Lonchura striata: one gene and its partners. The protein of the gene in region 1 interacts with the protein of each later gene in a biochemical or structural test. Links are inferred from orthologs where the notes say so. Each region holds a gene or a part of one and is shown on either strand. Other genes may lie near its edges. The genes, in order: LRRK1, ODF2, PDCD4 and CDC42EP3.

Evidence for each region.
Region 2: the proteins of LRRK1 (region 1) and ODF2 form a complex in vitro, tested with the Homo sapiens proteins (2 studies listed by BioGRID and IntAct, with this or other methods). The link is inferred for Lonchura striata from reciprocal best matches to the Homo sapiens genes LRRK1 and ODF2.
Region 3: the proteins of LRRK1 (region 1) and PDCD4 form a complex in vitro, tested with the Homo sapiens proteins (2 studies listed by BioGRID and IntAct, with this or other methods). The link is inferred for Lonchura striata from reciprocal best matches to the Homo sapiens genes LRRK1 and PDCD4.
Region 4: the proteins of LRRK1 (region 1) and CDC42EP3 form a complex in vitro, tested with the Homo sapiens proteins (2 studies listed by BioGRID and IntAct, with this or other methods). The link is inferred for Lonchura striata from reciprocal best matches to the Homo sapiens genes LRRK1 and CDC42EP3.

The regions. Positions count from the first base shown.
Region 1 is NC_134613.1:21,622,105-21,629,352, reverse strand, and holds the start of LRRK1 (leucine-rich repeat serine/threonine-protein kinase 1), read right to left. Parts: upstream 3,005-7,248; 5' UTR 2,883-3,004; coding exon 2,816-2,882; intron 2,679-2,815; exon of another isoform or gene 1,879-2,678; intron 1-1,878.
Region 2 is NC_134624.1:468,303-476,168, forward strand, and holds the start of ODF2 (outer dense fiber protein 2), read right to left. Parts: upstream 3,013-7,866; 5' UTR 2,420-3,012; coding exon 2,189-2,419; intron 1,022-2,188; coding exon 905-1,021; intron 299-904; coding exon of another isoform or gene 296-298; coding exon 122-295; intron 1-121. Other genes in the region: PTGES2 (prostaglandin E synthase 2), read right to left, coding at 7,333-7,461, 7,845-7,866. UniProt on the Homo sapiens protein: Seems to be a major component of sperm tail outer dense fibers (ODF).
Region 3 is NC_134609.1:23,128,226-23,135,118, forward strand, and holds the start of PDCD4 (programmed cell death protein 4), read left to right. Parts: upstream 1-3,878; 5' UTR 3,879-3,960; exon of another isoform or gene 3,961-4,009; intron 4,010-6,893. UniProt on the Homo sapiens protein: Inhibits translation initiation and cap-dependent translation. May excert its function by hindering the interaction between EIF4A1 and EIF4G. Inhibits the helicase activity of EIF4A. Modulates the activation of JUN kinase.
Region 4 is NC_134605.1:33,453,253-33,460,667, forward strand, and holds the start of CDC42EP3 (cdc42 effector protein 3), read right to left. Parts: upstream 3,019-7,415; 5' UTR 2,808-3,018; intron 2,444-2,807; exon of another isoform or gene 2,276-2,443; intron 1-2,275.

The DNA of each region.
Region 1 (7,248 bases):
AATCCCACCTCTGAGACACACACCAGTGGCATATGAATGTCCTGGGACTTTGAATAAAATTCCCAGTAAGAAGGAGATAAGCTTTTTAAACAGAAGTACCCTTATGTTTCAGAAGACAATGATTGTTCTACACCTCTGAGGAGCTCCTAGAAAACCACACAAGAATTAAATCCTAGCTATGAAATTTTGTAAGATTCAAAGAAATCAATCAGCCCATAGAAAGGCAAAGAATCTTTATGCTTTTCTACACATTCATAAAGTGATGCCTTTGGGCTTCCATTGTACTTCCTACAAAATTCCCATCATGTCACCTCCTCTGTATTATGCAGAGCTCTTTAACCAAGTTTTTTAAAAAACCCAGACCCTGTACTTCATGAGAGACTGCAGCCACCCCCATATCCCTGCTCAGTTTCTTTTAATTAGGACAAGATGAACAAATCCAGGAGAGGGGGAAGCAGGGTTTGAGGAGGCAAGGGAGATGCTGAGTACACCCACAAGGGAGCCTCACTCATCCTGTGTTCTGGTGACAAGTCTCTGAGGGCTTGGTCAGCACCACCAGGTCAAGCCCAGCACCATCCCCAGAGGGCAAAGAGTGTCCAGGTCTGACACACAGCTCACCCATGCCATGGGAAAGCTGGCATCCTGCTGGGATGCAGGGAAAGCTGGCATCCTCTGCTGGGATACAGGGAAATCACTGGCAACCAGGAGGAACAGCAGAGCAGACACCTGAGCAAGGTGAGCCCCTGCACCCTGTGTTGCATTTTCTAACTAAGAAGGATGCTGAGTGTGATTTTTCTCCACATACAATTGGCCAGGGCTTTATAGCTGCCAGGGAAAAAAAAACTCCTGAAAAATTCTAAGGCTTCAGATAATGAAGGTGCACAGGGAATTGCTGGAAGGGGCCTCCAGCCATGCTGATCCAGCTGACCCACCCCAGAGCCCCCAGCACCACCGTGCTCTGGTTAAATCCCCCACAAGCCAGTCCCTCCTGCCTGACAAAAACAAAAAGACTCCAAACTCTGAGCACTAACGAGGTCATTGGTAGGAAAGAAATGATCCGGGATTTCACTCCCATTCCCAGCAGCTTCTGCTGAATGGGAGCAGGAGGCTGCATCCACAGTTCCTCACCGGTGTAAACAATGGGCTGGCATGAGGAGGCTGAATGAGTCACCGTGCTCCTGCTTCAGCCCCTGTAATGGGATCTGAGCCAGAACAAGGACCAGTAACTTAAGGAGTGGACCAGTTAGCTAATGACAATCATTCTTGGCAGGACCAAAACAGTGAGTTTAAGCATGTACAAAACCCTTACAATGAGCAAATCCACCAAAGCAGTACTGGTGCCTTGTACAGGGATCTTAAGCTTTACAAGGATCCCTTTCCCAGTTTTCCAGCACTGTAGACTATTTTAATATAACCCAGATATATCCATATAGAAGAGTCTACCAGAGATTTGCATGCTTCCAGCTAACCAGTTTAACTGAATATAATTACATAACAGCAACGTGTAATAAAGTTCTCTGAAAAAAATCTGAATTCAAAATGTAAAAAATTTCACTATCCCACTTTCCACTTCATTATTCACTCCTACAATAATTTATTTATTGTATCTTTACACAGAGAGAAAACTTGCCAGATCACTACTGCAGAACAAAGATTTAGCAATTCTGAACAGTTGTGAACCGTTAGCGCAGATTAAAATTCTTTTCATGGTTTATAGCTTAGTATTCAAGTGGAGATAATTTCTTCCAGAGAGAAACTCAGAAGACAGAATTTAAGAATTTAAAAAATATTCAATAACCAAGTGTTACAGAAAGGTACAGTCCTAATTGCCAACAGCAAACAGAAAAATCAGTATCACAGAACAAGCAGAATACGTACGGAGAAAGGAAAGAGTTCCCAGAGCTCCCTGTGACGCTGGTGAGGAATGTCTTCAGACAAGACAAGGAGGCCTCTGAATAAACTACCAGGTTTTGCTTCATAGTTGCTGATAAAATCCAAAATAAGGCTGCAAAAACATTAGCTTCTGCTGGAGCCTGCTTACTCACTACAAAGCGTCAAACACACCTTCTTCCCACACTTCAAACGCAGATGCTGCCTCCTAATGAAGCACTTGCTGCAAGGGGGGAACACCGTTACACAAGAACAGGAGGCTATTTCTTGCTGCAGAAACATAACTGGGGTTTGACTCAGAGAAAGGCAGCAGTGCCTGGGAGCTGAGGGTTGCAGTGAGAGAAACCATCCAAAAATAATTTGCCTGCTCAGGAAAAAAAAAAAAAATTCACAGGAAGCAACCTGAAGCATATGTCCCTTCTAAAAGGAGAATTTCTTTATTACATAAACACAAATGTTCTAATCTAGCCCAACATAAAATCACTGCAAGCCACTGAATAGGAGCTGAGGGTAAAACTGGAGCAGGTTAATATCTGTTCAGGCTGAGAAGAGATGCTCTGATTTTAGCAGCTTTCATATCCTGAATGCCCATTGCATCAGTGACTGGGAACATATTTGCATTCACACACTGAAAAAGCACAGATCTTGTAAAACATATTTAGGAACTGGGGAGACATGATACATATATTGACTAATTCCGTAGGCCTTTGGAGAACATCCATCTTCAGGGGAATGCTATTCTTACCACCTCCATAGTTCAATATCACTCTCCCTGGAAATAAAATTCCAGACTGTAAATTTTCAAAGATCAGGGCTGAAAAAACTTTCACATTTTTAAACTTCATCAGAGCCCAGTGGCTACCAAGTTGTCTTAGAACCTTTTGTTCCCAATCTGAACAGGAAAGAAACAAATCCTGCTATTTACCATTCTGTGGATCCATGTTGCTCTCCCTGCAAACAGTGGATTCCTCCGTTCCCACACACCAGTACATTCTGGGTGGCAGTTGTGAAGGCCCCACAGACAAACTTTCCACAGCACTTCAGACTGAGCAGTGTTGTCAAAGCTGGATGATCCCCATCATGTGAATGCAGGAGCAGAGGCTGCTAGTGAGCACCATCCTGAAGAAACATCATTTATTCTGTTTAAAAATAAACAACAAAACAAATTAATCATTCCACTGTAGAAATAGTGAGATGTTTATTCCTCTCTACTATTAACACAGTTGTCCAAATGTCACACAGCAGAAATACTCTTATCCTATAAATATAATTATTTTCATAATAGCTTTGTTAAGAGCATAACATGAATTAACAGAGGGGACTAACAATTTCTGCATTACAGAAAGATAATGTTCCTAATTTTTCACCACCAAAGCTGCTCAGTCTTTGGGCAGAGGACAAGGGGGTGGACAGGGGTCACAGCTGCAGTTTCAGATTCTCCACAAGCTGGTGTAAAGGCAGACCATTGAAACCCTGCAGTGCAGCTGGAAAAATCCTAAATGCAACCTCAAAACCTCTCCCATCCACAAAGACAACCACAGCTCTTGTAAGACTGTGAGAAACTGAAAAACACTGATGTGGTTACTGAGATAATCCTCTGTAGGAAAGAGAAGAGGGTGAAGAGAAACACACCAGCTCTTGTCCCCTCTGCCAGTCCTTTTTGAGAACTCTCTCACCCTGGAAGCATCAGGCTTCTTCACTCAGGGAGGCAAATCAGGCCCTCAGGAGCTATTAAAGGTTGGCTTCTTGTGAACTGCCTGGTATAACAGGCAGCAGAAAATTGCACAGCTCAGTCTCCCGAGGCACTTCCAACTCCTTCCCTTTTCACAGTGGCACAACCACCCTTCAACCTCTTCGTACAGAGGCTCAGGCTCCTGGAGGATTTGCAGTGTTTGTCCAACCAGCATCAGAGCTCCTTCATTTTCTGCTTTCAGTTTCAGTCAGTAAACGCCTCTCAGATGTGACATGATGCACCTCAACTGACTCCTACTGGTTCTTCTCAAGTCTGGTGTGTGATGATGAAGTTCTGATTTGAGGCTCTAGCTCAGCAAAGCTCATAACCCACCTCCCACTCCAGCCAGCAAGGCCCAAGACCCTCCCTGACTCTCGCTGAGCAGAGCTGACTTCCTGAACTGGGATCAAAGGCCAAGGGGAATATAAAAATATGCTGATCCATCACTACTATCCGGGAAGCTTTCTGCTCCTCCCTCCTTACACAGGGTTTCAGCCAACAACACTAAAAATCACTACATCCTGTTTCAGTTGTTTTTAGGCAAATATTTGAATTTTAGGTGCACTCAGCTTCTGCTGACCTTGACTTTGCAGTGCCTGGCAGCAGCAAAAAAGATTGGCACCCCTGTGCCCTAGTCTGGGCACAGGGTGCTGCAGGAGGCTGAGATGGAGGTGATCCTAATCCCAGATCCAAGCCCACAAAGTGGTGAATTGCACTGTGTTGGTGAAGGACTGAATTCTGCCCTGGAACTGGTGCTGGTGCTTCTCTCCTGGCCTCAGCTTCCCTTGACAACGCTGGCAGGAGGAGCTGGGACCACACATTCCTCCATGCCACAGGTGGGATGGCCCAGGCAGAGGTGTCAGGAAGGCTCTCACACCTCCCCAGAGCTGTCCAGGGTGTTCACTCTGGCAGTGGAGGGGATGTGATGCTTCCAGCAGCTGCCTGCCCTGTGCCCTTGATGCACTGAGCAGCTCCAGGGAGAGTAAACACTTCCCCATGCACACTCTGGCCCACCAGCTCTGCAGCAGATGATGGTTTCTGAGGCACTTCCTTGCTCTGAGACGGGGACAAACCATGTGCACCTACAGCAACTGTACAAGAAACACTGAATGGGGGCTAGCATGGACCCCTGAGGCTTGAAAACCACTCCACTCCTGATTTTTTGCTGTCTACTCAGCCTATTCCCCAGGCTGAAACTTTCCTCTTATAAAGTGAAAGGAAAAATAATTTTTAGGAAAAATAGTGGTGTGGTTCTGGTAATCAGTTCCTTTAACTGCAAGTAACTGAATGCTGTAGCCATGTATATGACTGCCACACAGCGCCCATGTAATGAGGATTTCTGTATTTCAGGACCTTTTTGTATAAATTTTTTTAAAACCCCTACAGAACTTTACCTTAAGCAAGGTGCACTTGCTGTAAGGTTACAACTGTAACGTGCAAACACCACACGTATTTGATTTAGAGAGTCTATGTGCTCTGCAGAGTCTCGTTCAGAAGGAGAGGGGCCATGCAGAATACACCTGAACAGGTGTAAATGGGATTTACATCCCATTTCACACATTCCCAGCCCTGACACCTCCTACTGCACACACCTGAACCACCCACTCCCCTCCCCTTCACCATCCCGCCCTGTCTGACCCTGTGCATTGTGCCTAAAAACAGGCTGCCAGAAACATCGCGGTTAGCCGAAAATGGCTTGCTAATTGATAAAAACCCCTGATAAAACTTCAGTGCTTTACCCAAACCACCTGTTGTTTCTGGCAGTCCCACTGGGGCCCGAGAGGCCCAGGTGGAAGGCGCTGGGGCTCTCCCGCCCGGTGCCCACGGCGAGCCTGGGGCCGCGGTGCCAGCCCAGGGACCCCCTGCCCGCCCAGGGACCGCGTCCCTCGTCCCGGCTGAGCAGCGAGAACAAAACCATCCCCTTCTCGCACAGCCCGGCCGGCTGGGGGGTCACCAGGCGCTACACCCCGTTTTGGGGGGTCTCTCAAGCCTTTCCAGCCGCTTCCCAGCGGGCTGAGGCGTCCCCTCACAGCGCGTCCCGCCGGGCGGGGCGGCCGCGCCGCTCCCGCGAGCTTCTCTCTGAACTTTCATTTTCTTCAAAAACAAACTCCCGCTCGCTTTCCCCCTCATTTCCACCTGCAAAGCCCCGGCAGCCCCCCACTCCGACTGCCCCGGCAGCGGGGCAGGTGCCCGAGAAGCGGCAGCAAAGCCACGGTACCTCCGCGCCCCGGGCCGGCGCTCCGGGCGCTGCCGCCGCCTCCTCCTCGCCGCCCGCGCCCCGCTCGCTCCGCGGCCCGGGAGCGGAGGGAGCCCGGCGGCAAAGGCAGCGGGACAGCGGCTCCTCCTCCGGCCCCGCGGCCAAGGGCGAGTCCCCGGCACGGCCCCTCGCTGCCCCGAGGGCAGGGCTGGCCCGCGGCAGGATGGAGCTCCTTCCCCCGAGCCGACCCACACGCCCGCCCGCCCCCGGGCAGCCCTCGGGCTCCGAGGGTTGAGCTGTGTGGGCAATGCCAGCGTGGGAGTGGCGGTGGCTGGGGAAGAGCGCTCCCGCAGTCCCGCAGGGCCCGGCCTTACCGCGGCGCTCTTTGAAAGTTGCTCCTTCCCCGACCGCGGCGAGCTCGGTGCTCGCTGGAAGAGCAGAGCGAGGTTGCCCCCTCGCTTCGGAAGGAGCCGGCCCTTCCCCAGGCTGACCCGTTCCTCTCCAGGAGCCTGACAAGCCAGGGATTGCTCCGTTTACCCCACTCGTCGGATCAACTAAGGGAAAAAAAACCCAATATTTCCGCGTGCCTTTTGCTTTGCTGTTCGCAGCCATTCTATAAATTAAACACAGAGGATGTTTTTAGCCTGCTCGGTACCCAGCGATGGGTCACTGCTGGTCACCCGGGGGTGGATGTGCGCGCACAGAACGGCTGCGGGAGCCTGGGGGTTCCTTTGGATGGCACAGATGGGTGTTACCGGTGCTTTTCCCTGTGTTCAGGCCACCATCACTCTGCGTCCAGTTGCAGGCATAGGTAGAGAGCTAGAACGTACCAACACTATTGTTTTCTGGCTTTTAACACAGTTAAAAAACAGCGTTACCTGTTTTCAGCACCTTTCCACTTCTTAGCCAGCCTGCTCCCTTTTATGCCTCACAGCCCAGCTCTTATCCAGACCTTTCTTACCTCATTTTTAGCACAATGTTTGAAAACACCCTAAATTAACTTTTTCCTTTATTATGATAGAGCCTCTAATTTCCTCTGGCAATAATTTACCCACATATTCAAGCTAATTTCCCGCTTTTTCCCCTCCCCAAATCTCATCCCACTCTTCCTTTTGTCTCCATTGATTGTGTCACTCACAGTAATGCCTCTGTATCTTCAGCCTTTCCTTCTCTGGAGTCTGAAAGCTTCTGAGTGATGCTGTCAGTGAGTGGAAAATTCAAGGAGTTTGGCTTGGCCTGTGTAGGGAGCCCATAGGAATTTCTCACACATCAGATGGGAAGAGAGTTAAAAGACAATGGAATGTTCTTGCTCTGTATCTACATTGCAGATGAGAGAAATAAAACTGGGCTGGGAACACATTCAGCAGAGCCACACTGGTGCTGGATGTGTCTCAAGGGGTTTAGGGAGCAGCCAGAGCAAGGCAGGAAG
Region 2 (7,866 bases), on another chromosome or scaffold:
TCAAGCAAGCTACCAACAGCCTGAGTAGCCTTCCATTGCACCAAGACCTGCCTCTAGCCTCCCCTTGTCAAAGGATCAGCTACAAAGCCCCAGTCAGCAGGTCTTTCCACTGTCTCCTCACCTCTTTCTTCAGTGTTCCCACCATATTCATCAGGCTGTCTATCTTCTTTTCATATTTGTTGATTTTGCAGCAAGCAGGACCATCGTCGTCCGTGGAGAGGTCACTGAGGCGCAGTACTGACTGCATCTTGTCAGACTCACCATTAGGTGTAGCTTCCACCCGTTCACTTGATTCCTGCTAGGGAATAAAGAGTATATTTTTTTTAGTATAACATTATAAATAGTATTCTAACATTGCCAAAAACAAGACACTGGGTCACATCACTGCAGCAAGGCTGGGAAAGAAAAAAAACAACATTGTTTACAAACAGCTCTTCTGTTTCCAAGTCATGAATGCAGAAAGACTACAATGAAAAAGAAGAAAAACTAATCAAATCTCAAATCCTCATCTAGGAAGTGCCAGGAATACAACAGGCAAAACTATTGAACCATGAGAAAGAAAGTATGATGCAATGCTACACAAACACTCCATGCTTTTGAAGACACTGAGACCAGCATTCTCTTGCTGAGCCTCCAGATGAGATCTTGAATTGCACCAGTAAATTACAATAATAGAAATAAACGTGTCTGGCTTCTAGAAAGAGTAAGGCATGGCCACAGGCTGTTTATGAATTTTCAGTTTTTCTACATTAAAAAGTGAAAAAGATTTTCAGAAGACACTTCAAATAGATGGCAGGGGACAGTAGCCTTCTTTCAGATCTGCCCAACTCTCTCACTACACAAGTGCTCTCTTCCTCCTTGGCTAAGCCTCAAAGTTTGTTTTAAAGAGCAAAACCAGCTGTACCTCCCATTTCAAGATGGTATCACGAGTACTTGTTTTGCCTGGGGGTATCCAAGGGGCCTTAGTTTTCACCCTCACAGCGCGCACACCGTCCCCTTTAGATTTCTGTTTGTGCTTTTGCTAAAGAAAGAGAAAATAAAATAAATTACAGACCCTTAAAGAACCATTTGCAATTTTTAGTGCTGCAAAACTAAATGAAAGATCATTCATAAAGAACTATCAGTAGAGCTTCACAGGATGCATCAGGTGAGATGAGTAGCAGCCATCAAAGGAAGCTGACACCAGCTAGAAGAAAAGGTTATTGCACATTCAGCTGAGAGGATGGCTGGATGTAGGTTCTGACAGATCTCTGGGAGATCCCTTCTTCATCCCAGATTCACCTCACAAAAAAGTAGCTATATCATTTGATACCATGATCGATTTTGGAAAGCCCTGGAAGTGTTTTCCTTACTCTGTAGTCAACTAGAAGATGCACATTTATTTGTATTGAACTTGAGCTGCTCTAATTCAAGGAGAGTTAAAGTGTTTTTGCACAATTCAAACCACAGAGAAAAATCAGATGCTGTAAACATTCCCTACTGGTGATTAATTCATAGGACTCATTATTTTCACTGTCATTCCATCCCATTATGAAATCTGCCATTAGCAACAAACACAGAATTAATAGAAGACTTAGAACAGGATGTCTGTAGATAAGGAAGAATGAGATAGCAACTTCCATCAATTTTTTAGAACAACTTTCCATAAATATCCAGCAAAAAAAGAGGGTATGGGATAGCTAGAATCTCAGCTTCAGTTTTGCCTTGTGCCTCCTGTGGAAGTGGAAGAGATCTTCTTGGCTGCAGAGCTCAGTGGACAGAGAATGTCCTTAACGTCAGAAGATGGTCTCAATCAAGATTCTTTTTCTATGCACATTTATTTGAATACAATCAAGATACTACTTGAAATGCCTAAGTACTATCTCTCCTCAAAGCTTTCCTCCAAAAACAGATATGAAGACAAATACAAAACATTATCAGACACAGACCCAAGAAATAAAAGGGAAAAAATCCACCAAATGATATCACGTTGGAAGCAACATTTCTCACATGAGCATGAAAAGCAATTTAAAATCATCTTTCAACAAATCAACATAGCAAATGTGTCACTGCAAATTCACCACTGAATATGAAATGAAGTCTCACAGCTCTAATACAACAGTAGAACAGACCTGGAAGACTTTGTGATGCTTCTAGGGCCATTCACCTTCTCTGCAGCCCTTACAAGCAACCAGGTACACACTCCTACCTGGCATTTTGCAGGTGTGGTTTTCTGCCCCTTTTTAATATGGACATGGACAGGGGTGTTTTCATCCACATGGACGTGCAAAGGGGGAGATGAGGAACGGTTCTTCATGGCTGTTCTCCCACAAATGGGAAAGGGAAATACAATGAAGGGAAACCTGTGAATAAGGAAATTGGAAATAACAACATTTCCTTCAGTGTTCAGAGAGAAACAGAGGCCAGCCTTGGTTAACATTTGAGCTTTGTATCAGTAGCATCTGCCATTTTGAACTTCACACTATTCTTCTGTAAAGCCAGGAATAACACAAATAATTCCTCTGCTTCCAATATTTTCTGCTTTTAACCTGGTTACTGAAGATCAAACACAGCTGGATCAATATCAGGTGTCTGTAAGAATCATTGAAGTTCAAATACAGCAACTGAGCAAATCAAGGGTTCCCATAACCAACAAAATCTGATTACAAAGAGAAATTTGAAGCAGGGAGAAGAGGAGAATTAATTGAACAGTTAAGAAAAACCATGAGGAAATCATCAGACCAATCCATCCTAGAACCCTGAACCTGTATCCTTCTTCATAAGTGCTTAATGTTGAGCATCTTTTTTAAGCAGAAATCCTTAAAAGCCATTGCATCACAGCATTTCTTTAATCACCACAGAAACACATAACCATAACCTGACACAACACAGAAAAGCCTAGAGACACAAGGTTCAGGTCATCATCTTGGAGCCTCAGTTGATGTAAAGGCATAACACAATTGGAAATCTTACACAAAGCCACCGGCAGCACTAATCTGATTCTGGCAGAAAGGATATTGTCAGCCTAGGTAAAGTTACTTACAGCTACTTTCAAGCCTTTGACTTTCTTGCACACAGTCTTGGGCGTAGAGGAACGTTCTCCGTGGCAAGATGAGATACACCTGGTACAGAAATAATAAAATGATTCAGAGGAAAAAATGCCAATTTCTGAACATCTTCTTCCTTTTGATCTAAGAGAATACCAAGGCTCAAACATATCAAGTGCAAGAACGCAAACAATAAAAGTTGGTGTGCCCTAGTTTTCTCTCTAAAGCACAGGATGAGGGAAGGACAGACTATAATTCCTACTGACAGTGGAAATTGTTTTAAACAGTGGAAATGCTTTGTACAATTACATGATGGCACTATTCACTTACAAACTTTCAAATTCGAGCTGCGATTTTTAAGGAGCACAGCAGTACTTCCTTTACTTCAGGAAGCGGACAGGCACCGACAGCGCCTTTGAATCACCACGAGCGACAACCAAACGTGACTGTGCCTCCTTAGCAACGAGGCTCACTCGTACGTGTTAATTCCTCCTGCAATCTCTGCAGGTTCTCCAGGGACTCTGTGGTCCCTCAGGCTGGCGGAGACGCGGTCGGTGGTTGCTGGCAGCCCCGAGCCGGGCGGGCCTTCAGCCCGCGGGGCCCGGCCGCTCCAACGCCCGCCCGCCCCGCGCCGTTACCCGAGCCCCGCGGCCGCCGGCCTGCCCGCACGAAGGAGCCCGCAAGGCCGGGAAGGAAAAATCCCCCGCGATCCGACCTCGCCCACACGGCGAGGGGACACACAAACGGCGAGGAGACACCCTCCAAGGCAAGGGAACGCCCCCACGATGAGGGGACACCCCACAGGGCGAGCCCCCCCCGCAGTCGCGGCGCTCTCACCAGGAGCGCGGGGCTCGCAGCGCCTTCAGATCCCTGTCAACACGGCGAGCGGCGCAAGGGCGGCCGTGGGCCGAGCTCTGGGCACCTTGTCCGCACCAGGGACAGGAGGAGCGGCCGCAGGGTCCCGGCCGCCGTCGCCGGCGCGCCGCCCGCGGCTCCACCATTGGGTGATTCGAACGGCCCTGAGCGGCGGTAACCGCCCCCGGTAACCGCCCGCAGCCCGGCGCGAGCGGCCGAGCCGCCGCCCCCGCCACCGGGCACCGGGCACCGGGCACCGGGCACCGGGCACCGGGCACCGGGCACCGGGCACCCCGGGCACCGGGCACCACCGGGCACCCCGGGCACCGGGCACCCCGGGCACCGGGCACCACCGGGCACCGGGCACCCCGGGCACCACAGACCACCGAGCATCCCCGGGCACCGGGCACCCCGAGCACCGGGCACCCCCGCCACTGGGCACCCCCGGGCACCGGGCACCGGGCACCCCCGGGCACCCCGGCCACCGGGCACACCGGGCACCGGGCACCACCGAGCATCCCCGGGCACCCCGGGCACCGGGCACCCCCGGGCACCGGGCACCCCCGGGCACCGGGCACCCCTGGGCACCCCCGGGAACCCCCGGCCACCGAGCACCCCTGGCCACCCCCGGGCACCGGGCACCCCCGGGCACCGGGCACCACCGGGTGCTGAGCACCCCCAGGCACCCCCGGGCACCGGGCACCCCCGGGCACCGGGCACCACCGGGCGCCGAGCACCCCCAGGCACCCCCGGCCACCGGGCACCCCCGGGCACCGGGCACCACCGGGCGCTGAGCACCCCCAGGCACCCCCGGCCACCGGGCACCCCCGGGCACCGGGCACCACCGGGCGCCGAGCACCCCCAGGCACCCCCGGCCACCCCCGGGCACTGGGCACAACCGAGCACCGGGCACCACTGAGCATCCCCGGGCACCGGGCACCCCCGGCCACCCCCGGCCACGCACACCGCATCGCGGCCCCCTCAGGAGTGGCCGCGCATCCGCACAGAAATGGGGAGGTCTGAAAAGAGGATTAAATAGCTGGATTAATAAGTCAGTTTTCTTGGCGTTGCCTTTGAGTCTTACTGTCTTTTTACCGTTTTGCTGTCTTAAAGGTGACACCAGAATTGTGTACAGAGCCACTTTTACTGTAAGCTGTTAACCAGATTTGTGTGCAGTTCTGGCCGTCCCCAACACAAGGACATGGAAATGTTGGAGATCACAAAGTTGATAGGGGATTGCAGCACCTTCCCTGTGAAAACAGGCTGAGAGAGTTGGGGCTGTTCAGCCTAGAAAAGAGAAAGGTTGTGTGGAAACCTCAGAGCACCTTCCAGGATCTGAAGGGGGCTACAGGAAAGCCAGAGAGGGACTCCTCATCAGGAACTGTAGTGATAGGACGAGGTGAAAATTGAAAGGGGTAATTTATGTTAGATATTAGGGAGAAATTCTTCCCTGTGAGGGTGGTGAGACACTGACACAAGTTGCCCAGGCAGGCTGCGGATGCCCCAGTCCTGGCAGTGCTCAAAGTCAGGTTGGATAAGGCCTTGAGCACCTGTCTAGTGGAAGGTGTCCCTGCCCATGGCAGCAGAGGTTGGGAGTAAATGATCTCTAAGGTCCATTCCAATCCCTTAAAAATCTAAGACTCCATAAAAGGTGATACAAAATCCTGAAACAATCTTTATTTAATGTAATATTATTGGCATGTTAGTGTTATGGATATTCATCTTGAGATGACTGATTCACGTAGCACAGCACAGCAAGAAGTGGAATCACTGAGCCCTTGGTGCTTCAGATCCTCATTTAACATGAAAATCTTCCTCCCTCTCAGGTTGAGGTGGATGCTGAAATTATCATCAAGGGTTTTTCAACCTCCTGTTTATGCATGCTCAATATAATTCTTTAAAAGAACATTGCCTGATGATACTGTGGAACACAAGTTTCAGTACAGAACAGTTTAAAGAAATACAAGTCAGAGCAGCCATGCAGCCATTTGTACTGTAAACATTTTCTTTCTCCCTTCAATGTCAGATCATAACTGAATTTGGAATTAGTCTTCCATTCAGAAAAAACCCAAACCTCTATCACCACCATTGTTATAACCTCCCTGAACACACATTGGGCAAGCACTTGTATTACAGACCAACTTCAGCTGCACCTGAAATATCACAACAAATCAGATTCCCTGAAACCTGCCTGTTCTTCCAGGGAAACAGAACTTAAGCAGAGTGGTAGTTAAGGATACTTGGGCTGTGCAGAGGATCACTCACATTTGAACCTGCATTGTCTCTTGCTATGAAAAATATGGTTTCTGCAGCTAGAGAGGGCCTTTGACAAGGGGCAGTGGCTTCTCCTGTGAGGATGGGGAGGCACTGGCACAGCTTGACCAGAGAAGCTGTGGCTGTCCCATCCCTAAAAGTGTTCAAGGTCAGGTTGGACAGGGCTTGGAGCAACCTGGCCTATGGCAGCGGTTGGAGCAAGATGGTTTTTAAGGTCCTTTCCAACCCAAACCATTCTATGATTCTACCCAGCACAACTCGGAAGACTTAGCTGCAGGTACAGCTCCTAATCTGACTGCGAAATCAGCAATCCTTTGTTACTCTTGCATGATAGAAACATCTAGAGATCCCCTGGCCATGCAGATGGCTCTTAATCCTTTTTTTCCTAAAACAAGAACAAACTGATCCTCAGGGATATTCCAGAGGTATCTCATGCAAAACAAGCCTTTCCAATAACTGCTCTGCATTTGCGATTTCATTGTAGGCCATGTTCTTTGGGTGTAAAGGGTAAAATAAGAACTCAGATCTCACAAAGGGGACAGAATAAAGCCAGCCTTTATCCTTGCAGAGCATACAGAATCAAATCCTGAGAGAACCGTTTACATGGAAGAGTGAAGCAGATGCCTTGCTGAGCGCAGCCTCACTGCTGTCAGAGGAAGGGTGCCTTCTCCAGAACTGCAGATTCCTCCCGTTCCCTTAGCACTAGGTTTACAAGATTTTATTGCAGGAAATATTGTTACTTAAAAACCAGTATCCAGTGTCTCAGTCAGGAAAACATGTCAGCTGACATGGATGAGTAGCAGGAGACAGCCTGAGGCAAAAGCTGGTCAGGTCTACCACATGTGACACAGCCATAACACCAGCCACGAGCATCCTGCTCTTACAGTAGCCTGCTCTGAAGATATCTCTTCTCTGAAAGAAGCCTTTTTGCTGCATTCTCCAGTTCAGAGCATCTCCTTTCCAGCAGCATCCAAAATCCCTTTCTTTTACCTGTCCCCATCCTTCTACAAACACCCAGTTGGACTGCTCTCTCACAGCGACTTGATGTTCTGAACAGGGTGGTCTCTGTGCCCACATGTCAGTCCATTAGGTGTAATCAGTCAACTCTAAAAATAAAAGCCATTTCTTCTGAAGTTTTCACCATGCAAGTACTTCAGGGAGGCAGCTGCAGCTGGCATCAGATTGCAACTCCAGTTTTTTCAATGACTTCTTCCATGCGCTGGTACCAAGGTTGAATTTTGGTGTGAACCATCATGTCATCAAAGGCTTCCAGCCCTTCCATGACCCGGAGTACCCCGTACACTGCCTGTGTAGAGCAGAGAGGTCAGAACAACACTGAAAAAGCAGTGGAAAACGGCTTAAGGTACAAGTGTCCTAACAGCCAAGCTAGGATGGCTCTACCTTCTGTCCTGCCATATGATCCATCCTTCTGATTAGCAAGGAGGAGTGAATGGCAGAAAGGGAATTAAGAATATGTTTTTCCATGAGGAAAGAGTACGGAAGGATCAGGATCTATGTGCAGTTATTAGGCAAGTCCCCACCATGAGGGAACTGTATTACTGCACAAAAGACAATGTATTTCATATAGCTCAACTTCTCTGCCTGTACTTGTATTAACCATTTTATAGAGAGGAGCAGCAGGATAATTTGTGATCCACCTGACAATAACCACAGGGATGAAACCCTTACCAGGTCAGCGAGGTTTGGCTGG
Region 3 (6,893 bases), on another chromosome or scaffold:
TTCTTCAACAGGGAACAATTCAACCTCCACGCCCTGGGGGACACTACTGAGGAGCAGAGGTGCCTTTCCTTGTATCAGCACTGCAGCCAGGCTGCTGTTCTCCCATTAGCTCTGGCTCCAGTGCAGGTGCAGCAGCACTGGCTCCCTCCAGACCAGGTGGGCCAGCCTGCCAAGGAGCCTGGACACACTTCAGACACCTGCCAGGACATCAGGAGGTGTTGTGCTCTTTGGCCAGCACAGCGGGCTGGGCTGTGGAAGGCACTGGGTGCCAAACCTTTATGCCCTGCAGAAGCAGAACTGACAATACCTAGTCCTTGTATGCTGACACTTTTCTGTCTTCAGGCCAGTGCTAAGACTTAGGGACAGTGTCCTTTTTTCTGGGAGGAAAGTCAGAAGGAGGGAGAGGAGAGGTGGAGAAAAAAGCAGACCTAAAATTGGGTGAAGAAAAGCATGCAGACATTTAGACCTCAGTGGTCAGGAAAACACCTTGGCTGAGTCTCTTGCCCCAGTGAGGTAAAACACCTTGTTACTGTTTACTACAAAAGGTGACTGGCACAGTTATATTTATAAGGTTAAAAAAAAAAATCTAAAAGACCAGCTACTTCTGTTCCACCACTGAACTACTTATTTTTACCCTAGAACTATAATGAAAATCCACTCTGGTCAAATTTTTTCTGGGACACTTGAGATGCTGCAGGTTTTTTAGTCATAAACAGTACCCTGTTCAAAATATTATGTCCCATTTATGAAGGCAGGCGTGACTGATACAGCTTCCGAGTTCCAAGGGGCATATTTAAATAAGTAACAGGAACTAATCCATATAGTCAGCTTTCCTTAGGAGCCTGGGGATTTGCATGTCTAAATTTCACTGCGATGAGACTCCAGGATAGGGGATAAAACTCTAGTTAACTTCACTGGAGATAAAACCCAGGCAAGGGCAAAAGCTTGGAGACAGATGTTGCAGTTGAATGAATTTATACCTCAGAAATGCTACTTAGAATGAACAGTCATTGCAAGGAATAATTTTAAAAAGCAAAAGAATCGATTTGGTATAAAAGCTATGTCTCCAAAGGGAGTCAGAGTTCTGTCTTTTAAAGGACATTAATAAAAAATGGGGAAAAGTTTTTCCTCATTGCATATGGCTGAAGAAAACAGGAGGAAGAAGAAATTATAGGGCATAGAGGTTAATATGCATTGGGTATGTGCAAAAGCCAAACTCATTCTTTGCTTTAACTTTTGCTGAGGATGTTAATCATGTGGCTGCAGATGTGAGGGATAATAGGATGGGGGTATGGAAATGTTTGTGGCCGGGATAAAAGCAAATCTCAGGGCTGCTTCCTGCGCTGAAGGCAGAGGAACGGGCTAATCCACATGCCAGAGCTCTGGAAGAACTGGCCCGATGTCTTTAACAGGTCCCTCAGCCAGGGACAGCAGCACAGCAAACCTGTACAGAAGTGAACTGATTTGGGCAAGAAGAGGCATGAAGGTTTCAGCTTAATAGCATAAGGACAGATTCAGAAAAAAAATGGTGAAGGAAAGGCTAACAAAAGAGAGGGAGGTAAATGGCATGAGATGAAATGGTTTTATCAAACCCATTTATCTTTCTTGGGAAAGGCAAGCTGCAAGCCATTTGCTTAGTGAAGGAAATGGGATGGATCTCACCTCTCTGGACTTACATTGCACATTTCATATGGTGCCACATGGAAAGTTCTTAAGAAGAGGGAGAGGTGATTTTGCACAAGGTATAACCCCCCCTTAAAGCTGTAAAGAGATGTGGCATAAGAACAGCAGGGCTGTCAGGCTGGAGAGTAGTTACCAGGAGAGTGTTAAGCATCACTGTAGATCTGGCAAAGTGCTTTTGTAAATGGGCTTGGCACTAGTGTTACTGGAGAACTGGTGAATTTGCTGATGACAGAAAATATGAAGTAACCTCAGGAAAAAGGAGGCTTGAAATATTACACAGAGAAAGGTAGATAGCAGAAAGTGCTGGTCATAGGTACAAATGACCAAAGCCTTTCCTACAAGCTCCCTGGCAGCTCACACTCTGATCACCAAGTAACTGACTTGCCAACAGTGGAAATAGGAAGTGAGAAATGCAGTCCTGGAAGGCAGCAGGAGAGGTGCAGCCCAGGCTGCACTGAAGGCTGGGGTGAGCTTGAGCAGAGGCTATCTCACTTCATTTTGCAAAGCAAATACTGTGAGCATGAGGTTTTCTCTGCATAAATACTCCCGGGAAGGGAAGAGAGGAGAGCTGATGGTGCTAAGGGCCAGTGCTGGTAACAGAATAAATGATCAAAAGGAGCCATCAGACATTTTGATTAGGAGACCATTACTAACCATTTGACAATGTGGTTCTAGAATGTCTTCCCCACTGCAGTTGTCCATGCAAAATATTGAACTGCTTTGAGGATGGAACTTGGCAAGGTCATGATAAGGATATAAATCACATGGCGCCTTTGATAGGAGACCTGATAGCACAGAAGTTCCTGCCAGTCCTAAGCACAAAGGTAAATGTTCTGTAAGCCCCTGTCCATGTAAATATAGAGCATGTGATTATATACACACAAAAAGCAGGCACATGATTTATTAATCACAGGACCGCAGCTTGTCAAATAATAATTACAAGGCAATAACACACCTTGTTCTAATAAATGGCTTCCTAAGATTTTCTCCCACAGTAAACCAGTAAAAAGGGACAATTATTCTGAGGTAGAGGTGGCATTTTGTGTTTCTGGTTGTTAGCTTTTAAATGAACTCACCGTCTGGAACTCAAATCAAGTTCTTCCATTTTTCTGCACATTTCACAAGTTCAGCCCTTTCCAGTAAAGCGTCTTTTCAGATGCGTGATTGCCCTTTGTTAAGGCAAGAATGAACAGATGACAGCGGCAGCACGGAGGAGACATGCCTGGAACAGTTTACCGGGGCGATCCCACTGCTGCCGCTGCCAGGAGGGTGTACTCAGAGCCCCGAACAGGGCAGGCTGCTTGTGCAATGTGAGGGGCAAGTCCTGGGAAGCCACGAGAGAGACAGGCAGGCAGTGTTTCGGGGAAGTGTTTATGCAAAGCCACGGCAGCGGGTGACCCTTCGGTCTCCGCGCCTGGGCAAACGCAGCGCGGTCCCTCCCCAGCTCCGCAGGGCGCCCAGCCCCGACGGGCGCTGCGCAGCCAGGTCTGCAGCACAGCCCCGCTCCCAGCGCCCGCATCGAGCTGCGCGAGGATGTTCGAAAGCAGCTCGCATTACTGAGCATTTAAAAAAGTGAAGGCGTGTTTTTGTACCCTTTCAACCTGGAGCTGACGCTGCCTGATGAAAAAGAATGGGTTTGCTGTGTTTGCAGTTCACTTCGTGAAGGCACCTTAGCAGAAGATGCAAAAATAAAAGTAGTCTGAAGGGAAAGAAAGCAGAAGGCCAAGAGACAGGCAACTGAACAGAGCAGATTGATTTAACAGATATGATACATTTTTGCTGTCTGCATTATGTGTGGAAATTCGTATTCCAAGTGACACAGTAACAGACTCGACTGTAACCAAACAGCTCTGCTGAGGTGTCAGGAGCACAGATGCTGCCTATCGAAAATATTTAAAACAGAAAGTAAAACTTTGAAAAATCCGCGGTGGGGAGTGCAAGGGAAATAAACGTTCGGTAGTGTTTCTAACCCAAGGCAACTTCTCTCGGCTTTCGCTGCTCTCTCTGGTGCGGGAGGTCGGAAGCAGCTCAGCCAGCGCTCGGTGAGCAGCAAAGGCCAGCCCGGCCCGGGCAGCGGAGCCACGCGGTGCCCAGCGTGCGGGGGAAGGGCTGCTCCCCGCGCTTTGGGGAGCTCCAGCCAATGGATCCCTCCCCTGGGTGTTACGGGAGGGCTTGGCCTGCCTCTGAGAAAGGGAGGGCAGAGTTTGAAAACAACTCGAAGGAAGGAAGGCTGCTCGAAAGTGACCTGCTCGCCTCCGTGCAAGCATTTCGCTCCAGGTGATCGGCGGCTGTAGGGGTGGAAGCGCAGAGGGGCCGGGCGGCACAGGTAACCCGGGGTGCAGGTGTCGGGCGGCGGCTCCGGCTGGACACCCCGCGCTGGCTGCCTCGAGCTGCAAATCCACCACAAACGCTCCAAAGATTTTGACTGTGGTGTTTTTTTTTTTTTTAAATGTCAGGAGGAATTTTGCTGTTTTGTTTTCATGAGGATTTTTGATCGTGTGTTTGCTATTAATATGTCTAGGGGAGGGAGCGAGTAGGTCTCTACAGCTCAGAGGTTAGCATGTGATCAGCTGTTTTCTTGTTGTTGCAGGCAGGTTTGAGGTTAAAAAGGGAAAAAGAGGTGATGTCTTTTAGTAGGCTGGTTGATACAATGGAAAAATACAAGTTATCTTTCATGCACATAAGCTCTTTTTCAGGTCATAGTGCTTCAGAAATCAGATGAGATTTTCAGTGATTGATAACCCACGTGCTAATAGAGATATACAGCAGAAGAAAGAAAAAAACACGCAATTTTGTTGTCTGGAGGTGTGCTGGATGGTTTGGGGGTTTTCCTCTTCTTTTGACCTCTGATCCAGCTTTTAGGCTTCTTGGAAGTGAATCAGCCCTAAACTTTAGTAGAAAATCCTTTAGCAATTTTCCATGGCGCTTTAAAAGGTGTAATTGGCATGATGCCATATTTTGTGCCATCTTCTCTTGTGCAGGTTCTGGCTACTGTTTCAGTCTCTCTGTCACCTCTTTCTTTACTGAAAAATCTCTTTAAAGCCCCACTCTGCCTTGCAGGGAAAGCTAAATTCCATGGTGAATGTTAATAGGTAGAATTTCTTTTCCAAATCCTGGTGATGACACTGTGGTAGTTTGCTTGGTACGCACGAGTCAGCAGAGGTGCAGAGAGCAAACTAGGAACTATTTTTTGATTGATGGGGAAACAACATCTTTTAAAGCTGCCTCTAGGTTGCATGTGAAAAAAATCTTGTGTGAGCATGTTGGACTGTTCCGACATGAAAAAGTCTGCAATTTAATGCCTTCATGAGCAAGAAAGGTTTTCTTTCTGTCATTTAGCTGGTGGGGGAAGTATCATGAAAACATGGCAATCGTGCTGCACATTCTTTTAACAGATAGTTGTTGTTTTAGATCTTAAATCTATTTTGGATGATTCATGCAGAGCCAGGCCAGTAAATTAATTCAGAGGCTCTTACACAAGGGAACTTTGGCTTTTATTTCAGTCAGAAGAGTACCAATCAGGAGTGGAATTATACAGGAAAAATATTTAATAACACTACAAAAGTCAAGTCATAATCTGGTTAACTGGGGAGGTTTCTCTCACTGGCAGCTGGAAAATCCTGCAGTGCACAAATACCAAAGCAGAAGTGATCTGTATTTGCTTCCCTCATTGCTTGGGCTCTCTGGAGTGACAAATTAGGGAGAAAACAAAGGGTGAGCTGAGTTTTGAGGAGAGACCTGAACGGAGGCAAAGCACAATTAGAGGAGACTGTCATCTCTAATTAGGTGTGTGCCCTCAGGCAGTTGGTATAAAAGTAAACTAAAACAAGGTGGGAAGTTTGGAAGGACATGCACAGCCTGGCTGTCAATCCCAAACCTGATCCTCAAACGTGTGTGAAGCTTTCCCAAGGGGGGGAAGGCGGCAGCTCTGCCCGCCGGGGGCCGAGCAGCAGGAATGCCGCCGGCCAGCTGCGGTGCTGCCCGGCACCCTGCCCCGCACCCTGCCCCTCACCGAGCCCCGCACCCAGCCCCGCACCCTGCCCCGCACCCTGCCCCGCACCCAGCCCCTCATCCGCCCCGCACCCTGCCCCGCACCGAGCCCCGCACCCAGCCCCGCACCCTGCCCCGCACCCTGCCCCTCACCCTGCCCCGCACCGAGCCCCGCACCCTGCCCCGCACCCTGCCCCTCACCCTGCCCCGCACCGAGCCCCGCACCGAGCCCCGCACCCTGCCCCGCACCCTGCCCCGCACCGAGCCCCGCACCCAGCCCCGCACCCTGCCCCGCACCGAGCCCCGCACCCAGCCCCGCACCCTGCCCCTCATCCGCCCCGCACCCTGCCCCGCACCCTGCCCCGCACCGAGCCCCGCACCCAGCCCCTCACCCTGCCCCGCACCCTGCCCCTCACCCTGCCCCGCACCGAGCCCCGCACCCAGCCCCGCACCCTGCCCCTCATCCGCCCCGCACCCTGCCCCGCACCCAGCCCCGCACCGAGCCCCGCACCCTGCCCCTCATCCTGCCCCGCACCCAGCCCCGCACCCAGCCCCGCACCGAGCCCTGCACCCAGCCCCTCATCCTGCCCCGCACCCAGCCCCTCATCCTGCCCCGCACCCAGCCCCTCATCCTGCCCCGCACCCAGCCCCTTATCCTGCCCCTCATCCTGCCCCGCACCCAGCCCCGCGCTGAGGGAAGGGCTTGGGCGGGCAGGCAGCCAAAGGCCCGAGCTCCCCTTGTCAGCAGAGAGAAACACACGCCGATAAGAGTTAACAGATTCTTTTTTCTGATGGCTTTGATGCTTCGGAAAAGGAAGAAAAATTGGCTTTTAATTAAATTAGTAGGCCAGCACGTGGAGGAGGAACCAGGCACAGCTGCCCCGGTGCCAGCACCCAGCACCCCCAGGCGGGATGTGGGGAGCCGTTCTCCCGCATCCCGGGGCCGCCGCTTCGCCCGGCCCTGCCCCTGGAAGGGCTCGGGCGGCGCTGTCCCGGTGCAGGTGGCACTGTCCCGGTCCCGGTGGCGCTGTCCCGGTCCCGGTGGCACTGTCCCGGTCCCGGTCCCGGTGTGGCCGCCCCGCGCCGTGTCCCACAGGGACATGGAGGAACGGCTCAGGCGCCCTCACCCCCGCCCCCCGCACCAATGGCTCCTTCCCGCTCGCACCCCCCGGACCCACTCGCGATGGTCTCGCCCTCCCCGCTCTCCCCGGCCTTCCCTC
Region 4 (7,415 bases), on another chromosome or scaffold:
ATGAGATGGTTCAGATCTTGAGAAAATATATTTACTCTGATGTGATCATAAGAGGGAAAAAAAAAAAGAAAAAGTGATTGTTTTACTATTTTGTTTCCAAAAAGTAAAATTTGCATGCAGGAAAGTGAAAGCCTGTAGTGGTTTACACATCATTATGAAAGGCCAAACAGGCATCAGGTGACACAGCAATTCTGTTAACTAGGGTGAGGAAGAGGAGGAAGAATTGGTCAGAGAGCATTGCTGAGTGCCTGAGACACACACAGTCTCACAGGCAAGAAGTAAAGGAGAACCTGACAACAAATTCTGCATGACAGAAAGAAATTATTTTAAATGCAAGTTCCTTTTTCTTCCCCAAACTATTTGTTAAAACTTGGGCAGAGGACCAGAATTTCTTCTAGAAGAAGCCATCTAGGTCAGAAGACTATAAAACAAAGCAACCTCCCTAATTATGAAAAGCTGAGAGCAAAGCATGTTCTGCAATGAACCATGGCTTTTGTTGGTTACAGTAAAGCTGATACAAGTGGTTTGGAACAGTTTTAGATGCCTCTTTCAAGTCAATGTGACATCTAACCACAGCAGTCAAATAGGGATGGTGCAGACCCACGCTGCCGCTGCCTCAGGGAAAGAGTGGCTCTGGGCTGCCTCTTAGGTGATATCTCTTTTCTAAAATTCATCCAGGCCACCTCCTGGTGATTCAGGTTGGCTTTACGAATCATAGAAGAGGGGCAGAGGCAGTTTTGCAGCCTGGTTTTTACTTCTGTGGATGTACAAGGTGCTCCCTAAACAACAGTAACTGTGATTACCTTTCATCTAAGGAGAAGATAAACCCTATTGTTTCCTTCCCAGATACAGCTGGCTTATGCTGAGGCCAGGAAAAATCATTCCCTTCAGTACTATCGTACCGACCAAAGAACCTGCTCAGTTCCTTTCTTTTGCATGCTCTAATGGAAAACAAATGTTCAAAGCATGGAGTGCCTCGAACATAGGAGTTTTCTCTTGCTTTTCCGAATGTTTCTGCTGAAAGACTATTTGTAACATACTGCAGATTGTAAGTACATCTTACTGCTAATGCTAAAAAACGCTGAAGCCTTTCAGTACAAGACACTTTAAAAATAAATCCTTGCAACAGTAATCACTTGCTGATACTTGCTTTTATGTTTAGCCAGCTGCCAAGATGCCACATCTGTCACTTCTTGCTTCCAGAAATGAGCTTTCCTTTTTTGTAGGGAACGAGAAAATTCTGGTTCTAGAATTGCGCTATCATGATGCCTTTTTTGGTATCTCTGTCATTCCTCTAAACATCTGAGCCGTGGAACATGGATTACAAGATTTCTAGTAGTGTGTATCTAAAGAATTTTTCAGCTTAAGATTTTCACACCTTAAACCTTCTGATTTTTTTCATCTACATTTTCCTGAACAATGTTACATCCTTACAACCTATATATAACTGAAATTAATGGTCTATGCACGAGTCCTTGCCTCTCCTCCCAGATATTTTTCACAGGAAATTAAGAGTTCAGGATCGTACTTGTTACATTAAATATTTAATAATAAGCCTTCTTCCTTCTATGTTTAAAACATAGCAACAATCTACAGTGACGCAAGTCCTAAATTAATTGCTTACTCTATTTTGGTCTCTTATAAATTTCAACTGAAAATAAATCAAGTCCTTTCTATTATCTACAGCCCGCATTTCTTCATCAGCAGCCCAACTCAAATTCTCAAATTTGAGTTCCCGACTTGAACTCTTAGCTCGACAGCCAGCATCACACCGGGTACTGACTTGCCCCCAGTCCAGCCCCAGCCAGGCAGGGAGCAGCGCACTCAGTGCACGGTTATTCTTAGCCCCACGCAGGAAGGCGCGGCGCAAGGCGACACACCGCACAAAAAGGAGCGCAGCCTGTTTCGGGGGGGATGTAGGCTGGGTATGCCTTCTGCCTCCAAGGCAAGGGCATAAAATCAGGTATGCCAAAACACACTGTGATGGAAATTTAAACCGATACAGAGACGAACTGCAGCTCGGAATTTCAGTAATGTATTACTGTATTACACCCCGAGTCGTTCTAAGCGATAGCTCGGAAACCTCCCGAGCAGCCAAACAAAATCATTCATGGGTACTCTCTATGGCTATCCTGAAATGCGTACCCTCCCTCCCAGCCCCCCGAGCGGCCGCGCTGCGGCCCCGCCGCCGCTCCGCAGGTCAGCAGGGGCAGTGCCGCAGCCCGGCGGTGGCGGCCCTCCCGCTCCGCGCCCCACTCCCCGCTCCCCCACTTACGGCGCTGCCGCTGTTCCCGCGCCGCTCCTCCCTCCCGAGCTATCTCCCTCCCGCCGGTGCGGAGCCGAGAGGGCAGCGGGGCCGCCCCTCCGCGACTCGGGCCGAGCGCGGCGGCACCTGTGAGCTTCTGTCAGTGCGCGGGCGGCGGCGCTCCGGGTGCCGGGGGCGCGGCGCGGGGCCGCGGGCGGCGAGCGGCTGCCGCGGGGAGGCGGCGCTGCCGGCGGCGCTGCGGACGGGGAGGGCGGGCTGCAGAGAAATCCTGGCACCGCGGAGCACCGGCGGGAAGCGGGCAGGGAGGCCGGGAACAACCACAATAACAATAAAGGGCTCCTCCCCACCTTTTTTTTTTTTTTTTTTTTTAGCTATTTTGCGGAGGTGGGGGCGTTGCGGGCAGACCGGGAGGCCCTCTGTACACCCTGATAGGGTCCCGGTGAAGCCCTCGGGTGAGCAACCCCCTGTCCCCCGAGCACGGTCAGCTCCGAGGTGTGCTTTAAAGCTAATAATTTTTCACCCAAACCCTCTCTCCCCTCACCTCTTCGGCGCCCCGATCCGTCAGGGGTGAGGCTCAGCCCTCTCTCCGCCCGCTGTGCTCATTCATCCCGCCTGTCCTCCATTATTTACGCGTTGTTAAGGAGCGCTCGGGCTTTCAGGACTCGGCGGTCTGCGATTTGCAGGTAACCGGCAAATACTGCGAGAGCCGGCGAGGCGCAGGGGCGGCTCCTCCCGCCCAGCGGCGGGCCGGAGCGGGGCAGCGGCGCTGAGTTGCTGCGCGGGGCGCGGACCATTCAGCGACGGCCCGGAGCCCTTTAATGACAGACTTAAGGGCACCTGCCCGTCTCTTTTATACAAGTGAAACTGCCTTGCCCAAAACGGGAAAGAGCTTAAAATAGCTGTTGGGAGTCCAGCAGATTACTGACTAGGAAGCCCATAAATACTGCGCTGATGTTAATTTTTTTACAAGTTCTCTGGTTAATCCAGATAGAGACCCCGGCACTGGTCCACCTCTCGCAGTGACATCCTCCCAAAGGTTTCTGTTGGCGGGTACCTGGACTCAACACTGTGCTTGACAGTTTTACCAAAAGGTCATTTTTCAAAATGTTACTTTTGGCACTGCCATACAAGCACTGCATGTGCCCTTACTGAAATATTAAGTGTGGTATATACCTTACCCAGGCTAAGGTATTTTTCTAAATATTTGCATAATTTTCATTACATATAGTGTTTTAAAATCAGCATAAACAGTGGATGCATTGTATGTAAACGTGTATACTTAGTTTAAAATATGTTTACATACCCACATCTGGATGAGAGAATTTTCCCATTTGCTGTCTTTTCATTGGAGCACTCTGAACCTAAAGCACTTTACCGCAGGGTAATTCTATTTTCTTTTTTTTTTTTTTCTTTTTTTTTTTTTTTTAATTGCAGTACTCAAATTTAGAGAACATGTTCCTTTCAAGGTGTTGAGACTGTAATATTCAGTGTGCCTGCAGACTGCTCTGCCCTTACGCATACACGGTGATGTCTCTGGGCGAGAGGCATCATGCCATGCATGGCCCAATCCTGCTATCTGAAATGAAACATACAGGGAAAATAGTGTCCTTTCACATTTTTCACAGTTTCTCATTGCTGAAATATTTTCAATTCTCTGAAAATCTTTTTAACATTTGATTTACATATCATGATGATAAAAAACCCCACAAGCCCTCCATATGTGATTGAATAGCCAAGGATGAAGTTGCTTGTTCCATGGGAGCAAGGGCTTTGTGCAAACAGTTCTGCCCAGTGCACGGCCTCCCAGGTGGGAGCAGGCAGTGACACAACAGGTGTGGAGGCAGCAGCTTCACTGGGGATGGGGATGGGGATGGCTCTGTGCCCTGGCCTCTGACAGTACTGGAGGCATGGCCAGGGACTGCACAATTCCAGTAATTCTTAAGCGCTATTGGAGAAGCCAAAGTAAATTTGAGAGCAGCCCAGAGGCTGTTCCCAGTTTATGTAAAAGGACAGTCAGAGAAAACAGCTATTATAAAGTTTGTGTAAGCAAAAGAAAAAAGAATTCTGTAATAATTCCTGGCTTCTTTGGATACATTTCCAACCTAGCAATTATTCAATTATTTATCTTGTGTGAATGCACTGCATGCTACCTTTCTTCTACCAACTCTACACTTGAGACTGCTTTCTAGTTTAGGAACCTAATTTAAGTGGTTTAAAACTTTTTAAAAGGGACACTGGAGGGATGACATTGCTCTTACTTCCTTTTAGTTCAGAAAGGACATGTGTGGGCATGCATGTGTGTGGTGCCATGTGCTGAAGCTGATGAAAATTCAAACAACTGTTTCTGAGGACAAAAGAAACACATGGATTCATTTGCTATAATAGCAGGCTGGCAACACTTGACAGCAGCTCACTCAAAAGCTTGTTCCAGTCATGTTATACATCCCTGCCTCTTCTGAATATTTCTTTGGTTTTTCTCTCCAGAGCTGGGTTTCAAACCTGTGGGCCACGATACTGTGCCACAGTTGGTTTTACTCAAGTTTCTCTCTTGTGCCGTTCATGTTGTGACCTCTTGCACCTCTGATCTGTGGCACCTGTTCCAGCTTTTCATTCTTCCTTCCTTCTTTTTTCCTTGTCTTTATCCCATGCATGTTTTCACTGCTTTACTCCAGCCCTAAAAGCCAATTTGGCCTGAAGACACGGCCATGCCACTTCTGGTATCTTGTATCATTGCTCTTACATTTTTAAGTCCCATGTTAGCCATCCCAAGGTCATCAAAGCTAGGCTGCAGCCCTCTGCACTGTGCCCAAGTGTGCCATCATAGGCCATAATGATACTGGTTTATTCTCTTAAGTAGGAGCAAAGGACATATTAATAGGAAAGTGATATGTGTACACATCAATAGCATCTGTGTTTTAAGGCAGTAATGGTTTAGAGCAAAGTTCTAGTTTCTCTGCAGAAAAAGTATTGATCTCTTTCCCAGCTAAGCATGTTATGGGAAACACTGAAGCATACACATGTAGGGGCCAGAGACAGAACCAAGGTTCCTAGGAGAACTTCAGTTATTAATTTCCTCAACTTCTTAACAGTTACAGTATCAGAATTATTACAAATGTGCAGATTTTTAATTGATCACCAGAAAGGAGTGATGCGATCCTCTATTGTTAAGTCTCTTTTTACCACAGATTTATGCTTTCTCTCCTTTTAATTTCAAACCTCTTTTATTAGGAATTAAAACTGGAGTTTAAAGTAAGTATCTGTTTAAGTGCTTTGCTGAATCAGGAGAGCTTCTATTCGTCATAATATTTGGCTTATTTATATATGCCAATTTAAGTGTGTGGTGCTTTTGCTCTTCTTTCAGCTAGAGCTAGACCATGAGTTTAGTAAGGATTGTTAAGCAGTCTGTTCTGCTTTGAAATTGTTTAAAAGCAGTCTGTTCTGCTTTGAAATTGTTTAAATTGTTTAAAAGTACACATGATTAACATAACCTCTGGAAGGTAATAAGTTAAATCATTTAATGTAAAAAACTTCATACTACCAATGCAAACAAAAAATGTGACTAGAACCTTTTTCAAAAATTCCATTTTCCAGGGTACCTGAAGATTGCATTCTGAAACACTATTGCTAAATAGCATTTAGCAATCTAGGAATGATCTAAATATTTGGCTGTGTTTTAGTAACTCATGTGGATTACCAATGCACACATATCCAAGAATTTCTGATAACTTACTTCAGAGAGTGACTGTACTATAGACTACTATAGAACTATAGGGTCAGAACTGAAGGGACTTTGATGTCATCTACTCCACATTGTGCCCTGATGGAGGATCAAGCACTTATTGGCATGCTCTTTTCCAGGGCAGATGCAGCCCCTTTAAAGTTCCCTAAAACAGGCTACTGCATAATGAATATAATCTCACTTTTCACAGTCTCCCCCAGATCCATGTGGCAATATGGGCAAATTGGTCAACCACATACCCGAGATATCCTGCACATCTTCATTTATCCTCTGTTCCTGAATTCATCCATTGGCAGAAAAATCCAAAAACTCTTGAGGTAGATTCATAGTCTCATTCTTTCACTATCTGTATTTTTTCTGCTTTCCCAACGGATATACAACTTACATCTTTCTTGGCTGCAAATCAGTCTAATTTCTTCTCTCAATGACCCCGGGGAACAGTGAGACCATCTTCTTTATAACAATCCTATTAGGAGGCTATTATTTTCCCCAACTTCATGTTCAGTGTTTGCTCTTAGAAGTGAAAACAATGATCAGAGCTATATAATAAAGCTTCTTTTCATGGAGATTATTACACAGCATTGGAAAGCAAGGATATGATCTGACTGAGGGAAAAAGTCTTCTGCAACTTGTTCTCCACAGATTATTTCTGTAACTGTCACTTTGGGAATTTCTATAAATAAAATCACTATCACTCTTCTGAGAAGTGAACATTTACTACCATGTTTTAAACAATGAAAAAATACAGATCTGTTTTTCATCTAAATTCTTTATATATTTGAAATCACTCAGAGAAGAGAGTCCAAAGAAATGTGGCTTAGTTTGATGAAGAGAAGCCTCCCAGTGGGATATTTAACAGAATACCTAGAAAACAGTGTTGAAAGACTTATCTTATTTGGAACCCTTTTTTTTAACTCTTGTTCCATGACCTTTCATTTCCAGAGTACCATACTTGGCATTAACTCATTATCCTCTGTGGCGATAACACTTTGGACCAAGGGAGGAAAAGGACTAATTGACCCACAGTCTGAGCAAGGGTTTTGCCTGACTTTGTACACATTAGTGATGGATGTTTGACTTTCAACTGTTTTTGCTATTCCAATACTACACAAGGTTTGGCTTTCCTAGTCTGCATTTTCCTACTGCATTGTAAAATGCCAAGTGGAAGGATGGCTGTATGGACTAATCTTCCCTCCCTTCCCAGTCTTCCCAGGCTGCTCAGTAATGCCTGGAGGAGTGCATGGAATGATGTGGTGATTCAGCCAGTGAAAGAAGGTGGTAGTTCACTGATTACCTCAAAGAGCTTTTCCTTTCTCTTTTCATCTGCTCTCTTGGTCCTCTAAGCTTAGAGCACTTTTCCTTGCAGAACACCTCAGGGAGATGAGGACAAAAATTCCACTGTGTTTGGTG